Linked DNA regions of Chlamydomonas reinhardtii. The protein of the gene in region 2 binds, or shares a complex with, the protein of the main gene of each other region. Links are inferred from orthologs where the notes say so. Each region holds a gene or a part of one and is shown on either strand. Other genes may lie near its edges.

Evidence for each region.
Region 1: CHLRE_16g671100v5 (region 2) and CHLRE_16g651500v5 share a complex: the UniProt entries of both Arabidopsis thaliana proteins name them as parts of the CSN complex. The link is inferred for Chlamydomonas reinhardtii from reciprocal best matches to the Arabidopsis thaliana genes COP13 and FUS5.

What each region holds. Positions count from the first base shown.
Region 1 is NC_057019.1:1,300,236-1,307,244, reverse strand, and holds CHLRE_16g651500v5 (uncharacterized protein), read left to right. Parts: upstream 1-2,737; 5' UTR 2,738-2,987; coding exon 2,988-3,134; intron 3,135-3,329; coding exon 3,330-3,405; intron 3,406-3,698; coding exon 3,699-3,787; intron 3,788-4,047; coding exon 4,048-4,185; intron 4,186-4,625; coding exon 4,626-4,696; intron 4,697-5,011; coding exon 5,012-5,144; intron 5,145-5,415; coding exon 5,416-5,600; intron 5,601-5,914; coding exon 5,915-5,927; 3' UTR 5,928-6,494; downstream 6,495-7,009. Other genes in the region: CHLRE_16g651550v5 (uncharacterized protein), read right to left, coding at 652-771, 1,156-1,256, 1,744-1,882, 1,968-2,053, 2,118-2,275, 2,409-2,509. UniProt on the Arabidopsis thaliana protein: Component of the COP9 signalosome complex (CSN), a complex involved in various cellular and developmental processes such as photomorphogenesis and auxin and jasmonate responses.
Region 2 is NC_057019.1:4,417,480-4,424,444, reverse strand, and holds the start of CHLRE_16g671100v5 (uncharacterized protein), read right to left. Parts: upstream 4,567-6,965; 5' UTR 4,463-4,566; coding exon 4,290-4,462; intron 4,189-4,289; coding exon 4,076-4,188; intron 3,817-4,075; coding exon 3,672-3,816; intron 2,850-3,671; coding exon 2,713-2,849; intron 2,461-2,712; coding exon 2,335-2,460; intron 1,993-2,334; coding exon 1,835-1,992; intron 1,520-1,834; coding exon 1,365-1,519; intron 969-1,364; coding exon 917-968; intron 664-916; coding exon 544-663; intron 163-543; coding exon 121-162; intron 1-120. Other genes in the region: CHLRE_16g671150v5 (uncharacterized protein), read left to right, coding at 4,863-5,193, 5,860-5,957, 6,379-6,465, 6,702-6,765. UniProt on the Arabidopsis thaliana protein: Component of the COP9 signalosome complex (CSN), a complex involved in various cellular and developmental processes such as photomorphogenesis and auxin and jasmonate responses.

The DNA of each region.
Region 1 (7,009 bases), about 3.1 Mb from region 2:
AGTCCGCTATGACCTAGCAGCCTACCCGTGTCCGCCCAAAACGCTCCTCGTCCACTACCTTGGTCCTTGCGCGGCAGTTCCACACCGCCTTGTGACATCCGCCTAGAACTGCAACCTGAATAGCTTTCCCATTTGAAAGCACGGATTAACCCGTACACACGCCATAGGTGACACGGCACGCCACACAAACGCGTTCGAAATCCGCTTGAAACCGTTAGCAGCCTGACTTGAGACCCAATCGCACTGTCCGCGTCTCCGCATCCCCAGCCTTGAGACGCACGGCGTGGCCCCGCCAACAGCTCGTTGCACGCAACCATAGTTTTACGAAACAGGACAGCGACAACGGCTGCTCCGCGCCGGGGACCGCCCTGACGCGCATCCCCACCGGGCGCAGCCATACATTACGGTCAGCCCGCTGCCGTGGCAGGCCTAGGCCAAGGGCGCACCGCTGCAGCTTCTGCGTAGTCCCAAACTCAGCCGCTCGCCCACCAGCGCTGTGCCCGCTTCGCCGCTAGCTCGCCAGCCGCTCCGCCTCTCAAACACCACCTGCCGCCGCACCAAAGCTCCTCCACCACAGCCACCGCACCCGCCACACCGACTGCCGCTGCTGCCGCTGCTGCTGTTGCTGACATCGCCGCCGCCGCCAGCCGCTTAGGGCGCGCGCACAGGGCCCACGGGCGACACGGGCGCCTCCATGAAGGACGCGCCCTCGCGGAAGTAGTTGACGGCGCACGCCTGCTCGCCGTTGGCGCCCACGGGCACCACGTCCACCTGTTTGTGCGTGCACGTGCGCGCGGGCAGGCGGGCGGGCAAGGTTGCGGTTAAAATTGCGCGGCCCATCTGGCATATGGTAATACGGCTATGCGTGTGCGTCTGTATCTGTTTGCTGTTATGGCACCGGCTCGGCGCATGGTTTGAAGCTTTTGCTGCCTTCAAGTCCCTGTCGTGCGAAGGCCCTGTCCACGTCATCACCACCTCATGTGGCTCCCACGCAACCCGGCGGCCGCGGCCCTGCTTGTGGCCCGAACCCCAACCCCAATGGCCACGGCCATGCAGCCCCACTGTTCATCCAGCTCTCGTGCCTCGACCTGCACATCCCTCCCCCTGAATCCCCAGGGCCGCCGCGCCGCCTGCTCCCCCGCCGCGCGCGCTGACCTGGATGCGGGCGCGGCCCTTCACCAGCTCCGAGCCGTCCGCGGACAGCTTGTACTCGAAGATGCGCGGGTGCTTGAGCACCAGGTCGGGAATGCCCGAGTCTGCAGGAGCACAGCAAAGGACAGGCAGCAAACCCGGGCTTGGTTGGTGCCGGGTGGGAGTGCGTACAGCTGTTCTGAGTGGCAAGCCGCATGGCTCCGTGACGGCCAGGCCACCCCCGGGCGGACGTGCAGGATGCTGCTGAGGCAGCATCGGGCTACGTTGGTGTAAAGCTGTGGTGTGCTCGCCACTGATGCCGCCGTGAACACGGGCGCCTGCCCTGCCGGTTCGGTCGCCTGGTCGCCCTGTTCGGTCGCCTAGTCATTCCCACCCACGCCCGTCGGTGGTGAGCTGTCTGCTGCGCAACCCTGGGCTCCTGCAGCCCCAGCTTGGGGCGTGTGCCCTGGCCAGGACCGCTGCATTGCCCGCCGCACTGGCGCTGGCCCGTCCGCGGCCGTGTGCCGTGCACGTGCAACCTCCAAAACCCTAACCCCGTTCGGCCGAGCGCCCGACCCCAGCTGCACACCCCAGCCCCCTGGCTGGCCTCACCCGGCACGCCTCTCCGCTTCAGGTAGTCCACCACCGACTTCAGGCGGGTCTCCGGGTTCAGGCCCAGCAGCACAACGCTGATGGACGCCATGTTGCAAATCTCATCCTGCTTCAGGCCCACACTGGTCAGGTAGTCAACCTGCGTACCCCGACCAAGACGCGTTAGCAACACTTCTTCCAGCGAGACGCGTCCATAGCGTCGCGAGGGGTCAACATTCACTCACCACGCCCTTGGCGCGCTCCTCGGTGGTGCGCAGCATCCCCTTCATAGTGCGGTCCACAATCTGCTCAATCCAAGGCTTCTCCCAGCCTGCATGCAGATGGATGTTAGCACGTCGCGCTATTACGCTAAAACAGAAGCGCGAAAAACCTACCGAGCGCAAAGAGCATCCGCTGCACCTTCTCGATAGAGGAGGGCAGCTTGTAGGGATCCTTCTCAGACCATGGCAGCGGCAGCTCGCCAGGGGTAGTCTTGGTGATCACGGTCTTAGTGTCGGGGCTTTGCTGGGTCACCCGCACAACGATGCTCGCCCTGCGCCGCACGAGCGATGGCCACGTCAATACCGCCAGCAATGCAATAAATCGGCTGAAACTTAAGCTGATGCAGTGACGTGGCCGCGGTGATCAGGGCGGGGCTGCGACAACGCCTGGTTTGCCCGCCGCACCTCTGCGACTGCACCGGCTGGGGCTTCGCAAATAGCTTCGACTGCGTGCGGGAAGAGCACGCCACACCTAGGCCTTGCCGGCCAACCAGCATAGCGGACATACTTGCGTTCTGGCCCTAGGTAACTCCGCTTGAGGCTTAAGATGTCGCGTGGTACGTTTCCCTCAGATCTATGAATTGTGCCGTGTGCCAAGTACGCCTAATTAAACATAAATGCGTGCGTCACAGTCAAGCACGGTCGGGAGAGCGCTCGTAGAGCGAGGGGGGCCTGCACTCATCATGCGGTCGGCACGCGAGGACCCTACGCCATTCCGCGTGCACAGCTTCATACTGAAGAGTTTGACTTTAACATAAACATTTATGCCCGCGCCAATAGAATTGCCCATAAGCTTGAACCGAGGGTTCTGAAGTTCAGCCAGCATTTCTCCTTTAACTACTGCAAGACTTTCATCGGATAGGTCCTCGTCCATGCTGCAGTGATAGGCAGGGGAGAGCTCCTTGGTCTCCGGAACTAGCGGGCAGATCCCGCTCCTACGTCTTTAGCTGCGCATTTTGGAGGCACTAGGCGAGGTCTGTTATCATGGACCAGGATGCTAAGATTCAGCAATATGTGCTGCTGGCGAAGGGCCTCCGCGGGCGAGGCCTGACGGACCTCATCGCTAAGGCAACCGGGGACCCCGCTGTGTTTGGCTTCGGCGAGCTGTTGGATGTGCAAAGCGTAAAGGAGGTGAGTTTCGCTGGCGATTTGCCATGGAGGGGGCATGGGCCCGCACACAAGGGCCATGGAGGGAAGGAGTGGGTGCACGGGTGGTGCCGGGTGTGGGTTTCGTGCGGCGTGTCAGGCGGGGCGAAGCTTTGTTGGACGCCGTCCCCTTCCTCAGCTGAGTCTCACAGTCGTGCGCCGCGCACATATACTGCGCAGCTGCAAGGAACCGACCTGGCGTCCCACAATGCGCTCCTACAACTCTTCGCATACGGCACGTGGTCCGACTACCAGGGTGAGACGCACGCGGGTGTGGATGGGGACTGGTGGTGCCTGCCACGGAATGGAACGGTTGCTCCGACCACCACATGTGCATGCGCTTGGCGCGTGCCAAGGCATCCGTGCGGTTGTCCATGCCCGTCTAGGCCGAAGAGGTATTATCGAGGGGTTTGAAGTGGAGCCGTGTGTCAAGCGTGCTGCGGTCAGCCGCCGTTCTGTGATGTGTACGTGCACGTCTCGCATTGTTACGCACGCGTGTCGATATCGCCTATAATGCCTCTCACACCTCCCACACCTCATAACCCACAGCCAACGCGTCCAGCCTGCCGCCGCTGAGCGAGGCGCAGGCGCTCAAGCTCAAGCAGCTGACGGTGGCGTCCCTGGCCGCGTCGGAGAAGGTGGGTGGGTGTGCGGGCAGAACTTTTCAAGGCTTGACGCATCCAGAGTACAGAGTAGGCAGCTGCTGGTCCTGTGCCTCCCCAGTCACCATCATGACTCCCGCATCTATGCCTGCCCCTGGTCGCGGGAGGGCCCACTTCCCCCTCCCTCCCCTCCTGCCGCGCCGCCCCCCCCCGCGTCTGCTATAATACTGAATTACTCTTTCTGGCTACGCCTTCACATCTTATATAGTCATGAATGTAACCCCCCCCCCGTGCAGGTGCTGCCATACAGCCAGTTGCAGTCCGCGGTGTCCATCAGCGGTGTGCGCGAGCTGGAGGACTTCCTCATCAACCACTGCTTCTACGCCGGAGTCATCACGGCCGGCAAGCTGGACCAGAAGCAGGCCTGCCTGCAGGTGGGCGCGTTGGGGCGGGGCGGTTCGGGAGCGCGGGGGAGGGGACGTTTGGGGTTTGGTGGCAGAGGCGGGCGGGCGGGCGGGCTGCGGGCGACGGAAAGCGAAGCAGCGAGTCATGCAGGGCGGGGGTTAAGAGGGGCGTGGTGGCAGGGGCGGAATGACGCTTGAGTGAGGGTGGGTATGGGGAAGATGCAGCAGGGTTGGGGCGACGGGCTGGGGCGTTGGGTTGGGGCCACGGGCTGGGGCGTTGGGCGCTGAGGTGTCTGTCCTCCAGGCGGGCGGGAGGTGATAATTTGTGCGGGGCACGTGACGGCACGGCCGTGCATGCTTGGCCTGCCCGGGACCCCAGCGGACCCCTGTCCGACGTGGCCCGGGGCCGTTCGGATGCAACACCTGCTCCTGCCGTCTGACGGCCACTGCCTGCCTGCCGCCGGCCTCAGGTGCACGACGTGATCGGTCGGGACGTGCGGCGTGAGGACCTGCCGCAGATCACACAGCGCATGGCGTGCTGGTGAGTGCGTGCCACCTGGGGGGGAGGAAGGGCCACCTGGGGGGAGAATGGGGCTACGGCATTCATGGATGCGGCTGCTAGCTCTCAAGTTGGCGGGTGGGCCAGGTACAGGTGCCCGCTCATGGTATATTCCGTATCGGATATCGCTGGGGGGGAGACGAGCGGAGCAGGAGCCGTGCAGTGCACTGGGGTTCGCCGCCCAAAGCAAGTCCAGCGCGACGAAACCTGCGGCCGCTTCTGACGACAACGCTACTCGACACACTACAACACAAACCAGGACGAAACCATGTGACGTTCCTTAACGAAACATTACAGGATCGCGGCGGGTGATGAGCTGCTCCGCGCCATCGAGGCGCGGGTCAACTACGCGACCGCCACAGCCGACGCGGCGCGGCAACACCGGGAGGAGCTGGACGCGCGCATTGAGGAGGCCAAGCGCAACATCAAGGTGCGGCAGGGATGTGTGAATCTCTGCTCAAAATTCCATCGTGGCCGCTGCGTACCCAGACTTACCCAGACTGGGCTTCTGGCTTTGGAACCGACTCCCCCGCGACCGCCACTACCTGGTAGTCCTGCCTGGAACCCTCATCCCCCACCCGCCCACCCCACACCCCACCACCACCCCCCACACACAAACACACACCCCACATCCCACACCCCACCACTCACCGACACACCACAACCCCCCCACACCGCCATCCCACATTCCAACGCCTCAGGCCGAGGCGCGCGCCAACGACGCGCTGATGGACGAGGGGCTCATGATGGGCGGCTTGGACATGATGGACGAGGACCGCGTGGGCACAGCCGGACTGGGGCTGGGGCCGGGCGAGCGCGAGGAGCGCATGATGATCATGGGGCCGGGCGGCGCGCGCGGAGAGCGGGCGCCGGGGCGGCCCAAGAGGTGAGCGAGAGCGCAGCAGGGGATGTGTGTGTGTGTGGGGGGGGGCAGCAGCGCAGCAGGGAGCGCAGCAGAGGGCGCAGCAGAGAGTGCAGCAGAGAGTGCAGCAGGGGCTGGAGGCAGTGGGGCGATGGGGTGGTGGGGCGGAGTGTGACGTGGGGTCGGGGTGTTGGGGGTGCGTGGAGGCGCGAGTTCTTGTTGCCGTGAATGCTGTGGCGGCGTAAGATGCGCTTCGGGGGCTGCTGGTGTCGCTGTGCCCACAGACGGTGTTTGCCACAGACCGTACTGACCCTCGGGTTGTGTGTCCCTTCCCACAGCAGGCGGAGGTAACTGGGCAGCAGTGCTGAGGAGGCACGCAGACTCGCGAGAAGGAAGGTTGTGGGCGGCGCAGAGCGCTGCGTTGCACCCGCGCATGTGGGCGTGGGAGCTGCTGGGTGCGGCGCCTAGGCATCTGGGATGGACGGGTAGGCGCTTGCTTGGATTTGTGAGCGCCGGGGTGGCTGGTTTTGTTTATGGCTGGCCGGCTGGTTGGAACCCGGAAAGGCAGGTTGAGAGTGGCAAGCTGTTGCTGCGAGCGAGGGGGAGCGCGCAGTCACCGGTAGTGCGCAGCCTGCGGCAGTTGTTGAGTAGGCGAAGCAGGCTGAATACGCAGGAGTGAGGCAGGGGCCACAGGAGTGCAGCTTGAGACAAGGGGCTAAAGGACTGCAGGGCTGGAATGCCCCCACTACACACGTTCACGATTCTGCTCCTGAACCTGCTGGGTGTGTGCGTACCGTGGCGATTGTGTTTATTGGCACGTGTGGGTCAGGGCACACATCGCACGGTACTGGTGCCGCCATGACGGTCGCCGCACGACAGCTGCTTTAATTCCATGAATGTACGCAAACCTGGGACTAACATTTGAGCGAGCCACCTCGGCGCGTCCTGGGCGGTGGAGGGGGGGGGGCAATCCTGTCAATTGACTCAGTACCCGATCAGCCGATCTCAGTAAATCGACGCTCGGGAATCAGTCGGGATGTACCCGAGTCTGCAGCACCTCCTTGAATACCGTACATCTTCCTCTGTTCCTCAAACACGGCACGGCACGCACCCGCTTGCTATGTGTCGTCAGCTCTTTCGGCGTGTCCCGGCCCACACAGGGCAGCAATGCAAACGCCAACACACAGAAAGACGCTGATGCCATTCGACTTTCCTTATGTTCACCCTTCGGCAGCAACCGCACAGCAATACCTTGACAACCACATGCCATTATGACGGTTGCCTATATATCAACTGGCACGGCCTTCGCAGCTATTTCTGTCAGCTATTTTTGTGCCTACGCAACCCCTCTTTCACAGCTGCAGCTCCAGCGACACGGTATATGCGCCGTAGAAGACGGGTGTGGTCACTAGCGCCTGGTGGTGGGAGATAGC
Region 2 (6,965 bases):
AGGAGCGGTGCGGCGGCAGCCGCGATGCTGCTGTTCCCGCCGCCTGTCGCCTGCCGTCGAGGCCATCGCTGCGCCGCACGGCACAGCACGGCACTGCCTTTGCCGCAGCTGCCTGCTCACCATGTCGTGCGCCTGCTGCAGCCGCTTGTTTAGCTCCAGCACCTGCAGCGGCGGCAGTAGCAGCAGCAGCAGCAGCAGCAGCACGTGCCGTGGCGGGAGCGGTTTTGTGACGAGCAAAGTGAGAGGGCGATAGCGCGCGACTGTGTGTGCGCACACCGTCACACCGTCACACCTGCACACCGTCACACCTGCGGCCCGACCACTGCGGCCCGGCCGCGCCACCCTCGCACCAACATACTTCCGGTGATGCCCCGGCACCCACGGCGATCCCTGCCACTTCCTACCTCCCAACACGCACTCAGCACACATACTCGTAACTCCGGCGCCGTCTGGGTGGGCTTGGTTTTGTCTCTTGTGGTAAATATCTCACACGCGCACACCCACGCGCACACGCACACACCACACAGGTGGCCTCCCGCGCACCTGGCGCAGCCTCTCGTCCAGCGCCGCCACGCCCGCCACGTTGTCCCACGACCCGCCCGCCGCCGCCGCCGAGCTGCTGCCCGCTTGCCCGGAGGAGCGCGTCTCGTCCGCGAACCGCACCTGCACGCACACGCGGCAGACGCGCAGCACACAAAGCATGATGCCGCAACCAGCTCATGTGCCACGTCACGCAAAGCATGCGCCGCACACACCACGTCACGTGCAGGTGCCGCGCCAGTGGCCGGCTACAGGTTCCACAGGTGGGCGCATCAAACAGCACCCCGGCTTTGCTTGCCCCGCGGCCCCCGCAGCACCACCACCAGCAGCAATACACTACGATGCCAGCAGCGGCCCTCCCATGCAGCCCCCTCACCATGCCGGTGCGGCCGTCGATCTTGGCGTGGATCTGACCCGCCGCCACCATCCTGCGACACGCCACGTCATGACACACCGATGGACGTCAGGAAGTGAGGAGCGGAGCAGTGGCGGACAGGCGCGCAAGGATGAGCGGGCAAAGCTGCGGCTGTTGCTGCTGCTGCTGCGGCAGCGGTGAGGACTGAGGACTGAGGAGGAGGTGGTGGTGGTGGTGGTGGTGGTGGTGGTGGTGGTGCCGCGGAACCTCCCGCCGGCACCGCACGACACCGGGCGGGTGCACGGACTCCACTATCTGCTATTCCCCCGCGCTACCTCATGCACGCCCCACCCTCCCCGCAGATCCCACCCCACGCATAAACCCCTCCGCCCTCCATCCACCCACCCACGCGAAACCCACCACCCTGCACAGCGCCCGCCCACGCCTCCGCCGCCGCCCCGCAACCCACCGCAGTATGTGCTCCTCCGCCTCCGCTGCGCCCGCCAGTCCGGCGCTGGCGGCGATGTCGGCCAGCGGCAGCGTGAGGAAGGTCTGCGTGAGGCGCTGCACGGAGCGCACCGTCAGGCTGGCCACCACCTGCTTCACCAGTCCCAGGTTGCCGTCCTGAGGGGGGGGGTTACATTCATGATTAGTTAAGGAAGTGGTAGGGGGGCGGGTGGGGAGGAAGGAGTGTGGTGTGTGTTTGTGGAGCGTGTGGGCGTGTCTGTGTGGGTGTGCCTGTCCCACCCTCCTCCATCCTCCTCCGCCTCCTCTGCCTCTTCCTCTCCCTCCTCCTCGCCTGCAGCCCTCCTCCGGCCCCCCAGCCCCCCCCCCGCCCCCCCGTCGGTAACGATGACTACTGTGTACCTTTGTACCTGGCTACGAGTTCACTGCGTAACCTTTATGCGTGTAACCCCCCCTCCCCAGCGCCGCACCCACCGCCGCGAACACCGCCGCGTGCTGGTCCGCTACGCGCCTGAGCCGCTCCGGCTGTCGGGCGGCGGCGGCGGCGGCGAGGTCGGCGTAGGGCCGCGCCTCGGCCTCCACCATGTGCCGAACACAGCTGGACGTGAACTTGGGCAGCGGCAGCAGCTGGCCTGTGTGTGTGTGTGTGTGTGTGTGTGTGTGTGTGTGTGTGTGTGTGTGTGTGTGTGTGTGTGTGTGTGTGTGTGTGAGTGAGAGTGAGGCGCGGGCAACTGAGTGGAATGCATGCGTGGGCATGTGGAGTGAGGCTGGGCGGCTTGTGCGCATGGCAGGCCTGCGGCAGTGTGTCCATACATACACTTACTGGCGCACGTGTGCCCTACAGCGTGCCCTGCCTACCCTTTCTTGTCCGTCTGTGTCCAGCAAACCCTCCTCCCCTCCACCGCTCCCCACTCCCCGCTCTCCTCATTCAACCGCCTCCAATCCCCTCCTTTCCTCTCCTCATCTGCCCTCACCTGCGTGTATGAGGCACACGCACACGTACTTCTTGTAGGCCGCCGCCACGATGGCATTGCCCACCACCGCCGGGGCCGTCAGCGCCTGCAGCAGCAGCTCCAGGGCGCGAGCGTGCTGCTTGCGGCCTGTGGTGGCGCGGGCAGCAGGGGAGTGTTGCGCGGTGGGCAGCAGCAATAGTAGCAGCGGCTGCACTTGCAGTTGCAGCAGTGGGTTGTGGTGGTGCTGCTGCTCGTCTGCCGGGCTCCTCCTCTTCCTCCTCCTCCTCCTCCTCCTCCTCCTCCTCCTCCTCGTCGTCGTCGTGCCTCCCCCTCCCCCCCTGGATTCTCCTCCTCCTCCCCTCCTCCTCCCCTCCCCTCCCGGGGCTGCCCTGCCCTCACCAATGGCCAGCATGCCGCCGTAGTAGCAGTACAGGAACAGGTCGGTGGGGGTGCAGGTGGTGGCGGCGGGCGACACGTCGTAGATGTCCTGGCCCAGCACCTCCGCCGCCGCGTTGTAGCAGCGCGACAACAGGCAGCTGCGCAGAGGGGGAGGGGAAGGGTTACATGCATTTAGTTTACGGAGTGAAGTTGTAGCCAGGTACAAAGGTACACGTAGTCGTTGTTACCGATGGGGAGGGGAGGTTACATTCATAAGCGTTTTAGAAGTGAAGGCGTAGCCAGGAACAGCAGCATAGCAGACGCGTTGTTACCGATGTCCGCGGGAGGGTGGGGAGAAACATGAGGGCACCGGGGGAAGGGTGGCAGTTACCAACCCAAACTAAGACTACTGACGCGCCGTGGGTCGTGCTTTCCCGCTCCAAACTGCCCCCTCCTCCTGCTCCTCCGTTCTGGCTTGGTGGGAGTGGTGGAGAACCCCACCCCTTCAGACTACGTGCTCCCAGACCGTCCCCGAAGACCACCCGCAACAGCACCGGCACCCGCACCTTCACCCCTCCCCTCCTCGTCCTCCACCACCTCCTCCTGCTCCTCCTGCCGTAGCCCCCCCTCCTCCTCCTGCTCCTCCTCTTCTTCCTCCTCCTGCTCCTCTTCCTCCTCCTCCTTCTTCCCCCATCCTCCTGCCTCCGCCCCCCCTCCTCCCCCCCCCCGCTCCCCCTCCTCCGCTCCCCCTCCTCCGCCTCCCCCTCCTCCGCCTCCCCCTCTCCGCTCCCCCTCCTCCTCCTCCCCCTCCTCCTCCTCCCCCTCCTCCTCCCCCTCCTCCTCCTCCCCCTCCTCCGCCTCCCCTCCTCCTCCTCCCCCTCCTCCTCCTCCCCCTCCTCCGCCTCCCCCTCCTCCGCTCCCCCTCCTCCGCCTCCCCCTCTCCTCCTCCCTCTCCTCACCCCCCCACCGCCGCCACTCACAGCTGGAAGAAGTCGGCGTGAAGCGGCGTGAGCACCTCGGGCGCCGGCTGCAGCGCGCGCAGACCGCAACGCAGCGGCAGAATGCCCCGCCGCGGCGATCCCGCAGCCAGCACATGCTCCTTCAGCTTCTTGGCAACCGCGCAGACTGCGGACCCGGGTGGCAGCAGCAGCAGCGGTAGTGTGAGCGGCAGTAGCAGGTGCGGTAGTAGCAGGTGCAGGTGCAGGAGCAGTGGCATTGTAAGCAGTGCCGTGGGAGCGACAGGAGTAGCTGGTTCCGGTGCCTGCCTGCGTGCCACGAAACCCTAGGCTGCGGGGCGTGCCTTATCGACCGCCTCCCCGCGCCGGTCCCGCCCTGCCCCCTGCCCGCTGCCGCGCTCCCCTCTGCCCCGGCGCTGTCCACTCACAGACGTCTGGCGCCGCCTGAATCTGAGCCGGGTCACAAAGGGTGAAGAAGCGAGCCGCGTTGTCGATGAAGGCAACATCGGGGGCCTGCAAGTTGCCTTTCCCCAGGTAGTACCTGCGAGCCAGATATGACAGTCAGCATTTTGCCGCTTGCCACGATAACGCAGGGGCCCCAAGGCACGCCATGCGCTGAAGATCTGCGCGCGCGACACTCACAGGAAATACCCAAAGCCCAGGGAATGCTGCACGGGGTCCAGAGTTTGAAGGGCAGCCGCAATGTGCTGGTAGTTCTGGGTAAACACCGCCTCGGAAGACTTCAGCGTGGTGAGTAGCTGGTTGATGTCATTGGGGTTCGAAAGCGCCACTACCTGAGCCACCAGGCCCTCCATCTTTATGGCTTAGCTACGCCAGCCCAGGCCCGCCAAAAAGAAAGGTCCGGTTCTCACAACTCGTCGTGTTTGGCTAGTCCTGTTGATGCTTACAAATGTGCAATAGTATTGTTATCATAAGGAACTGCGAAATGCAACGTGCAAGGCACAGGACTTGCATGCACGTCTGGTTTTCCATGTTGCAGCTGACCCTCGCCGGCAAATCAATCGCCGATATGGCAATTGCCCATCATAAAAGACCTCACAACATTCGAATCAAACATATGTCCTGACGAATAAGCTCCAGAAAGGCGAGTGCACGACGGGGCATGTCGCGCCAAACCCGGGCCGGGCCATAATATCGCCGCGGTGGCCTCATACACCAGCAGCATAGTAACTGCAGCTTAGCGCCGCAGCCGACATGGCGCCGAGGCAAGCTGCTGAAGCGGGCAGTGCCCTTCCCGCAGCACGCACTGCTGCCGCTGCTGCCTCAACCACCCACGCAGCCGATTCGGAGCCGTCCCGCATCGAGCTGCTAGAGTATCATCGCGGCCACGTCGCCGGAAGCGTGGTGCTGCTCGGCGACGGCGACAGCCCGACCGGAGCACGGCAGGAGCGCAGCGGCGCGGGCGCCGGCGCCAGTGCGGCGGCCGGGGCGCGAGGCGCTCAACGGGGCTGGGGGGTGCTGTCGGTGTTGCGGGCCGCGTTCCTGCCGGAGGGATTCCCCGAGTCCGTGTCACCCGACTACCTGAGTGAGTGACGGGGATGGGGTGGCGGGGGAGCGGGCGAGGGTGGGGACTAGGAGGGAGCGGGTTGGGAGCCTGCAACACACCCGTTCTCGCACGGCGGCGGCACGCCGCGGCGCGTGTTCCGTTCATGCGCCAGGAGTGCAGTCGTCAGGCAGGGCGGTGCAGCACACGCACCTGCAGGCATGTGACGTGCTGCCCACTGCCGTACTCCCACACACGTGTCCCCACATGTCCCCCACGCGCTCCTCGCTCTTGTGCAATGGGTTTGACTTAATTTTGAGGCTGGTTGTGGACGGAACACAGAAGTTCTACGTCACAAAAGTATATAACCCGGACGCGGACGGCGCCCTGGGGCATCTAGATATGTCTTTTGCCGACTATCCTGCTACACTGGTACATCCACCCCCCGCTACACGTGCCCTCACGCACCGCTCCCAGGCACCCATGTGAGGTGCCTCAGCCGCCACGACACGACACGCCACTACACCACCCGCGCCAGCCGCCTGCACCCTCCCCCTGCTCTCTCATTGCCCCCCACTGCTCTCCCATTGCCCCCCACTGCTCTCCCCTCCCTCCCACTGCTCTCCCTCCCACCCCACCGCTCTCCCCTCCCTCCCACTGCTGTCCCCTCCCACCCCACCGCCCTCCCCTCCCCATGCGGCCCCCCAGGCTTCCAGGCCTGGGACACGGCGCAAGCCCTCAGCTCGTACGTGCGCGGCATGCTGACCAGCGCCGCCATACTGCGGGGCGTGGGCGTGGGGCAGCAGGTGCGAGGCAGGGCCGGAGGTGGTGTGTGGTGTGGTGTGTGGTGTGGTGGGGCGGAGGCGCTAGGCAGTGCGGTGGGGCTGGGTGGGGCTACGGCGGTGGCAAGGGCTGTGCGTGCTGCGTTTAGGACTAGCGCAGCAAGGGGGCCGGGCTATGGCTGCAATTGGGCAGGCGGCGCGGCAAGGGGGGGGGTCAGGCAGCAGGGCAGCAATGCTCCGTGTGCCCTTCCGCCCCCGCCTGCACCCCTGCCTGCACTGCCGCCTCCACCCGCCCTGTACGCCTCAGCTCCACCGACTCCCACACTACATCCACCTCTCATATCCCCCCGCACAAGTACCTTGACGCCCCCTCTCATTTCCCTCAACCCCTGCCCAACCCCTCCTCCCCCCCCTCCTCCCCCCCCACACACAACCATCTGCACAGGCCTCCAGTCCGCTGGCCGCCGTGTTCACGTTCTTTTTGCGCGACATGGCCGGCATGGCGGGGGGCATCCTGTTCGCATACGCCGAGGTGCGAGCCTGCTAGGAAAGGAACAGGGGAAAGGGCTGGCATACTGCAAGTGTATGCGTGGCTTAGAGGGCAGAAGGACGAAGGACGGATTTATGAACTGCTTGTACTTTTCTGTCCTAAGCGGGGGGTTCTACGGCCACGCCCCCCGGCCGCTTCCCCCACTCCCTGCCCCCGCATCATCATAAAGTTGACCCCCGTTCCCCTGCCCCTGCCGCTCCCCTGCCGCTGCCGCCCAGGGCTCCAGCTTTGACGCGTGCGCCAAGCAGTGGCGGCTGTTCGCCGACATCGCCAACGACCTTGGTGAGGGGGCAGTGGGAGCAGCGGGGGCAGTGGGAGAGGTGGGAGCACGCACAGGCACATGCAGACCGACTCGTTGCTGGTCGCGTTGCTGGGTGGCGCGCACATTTCATGTGCCACCGCAGTGAAACGCGCACATACACACACAAATACGGGCTTCGGCACACCAATACACATCAGTCAGACCTGCTGCCTCCTTGTGC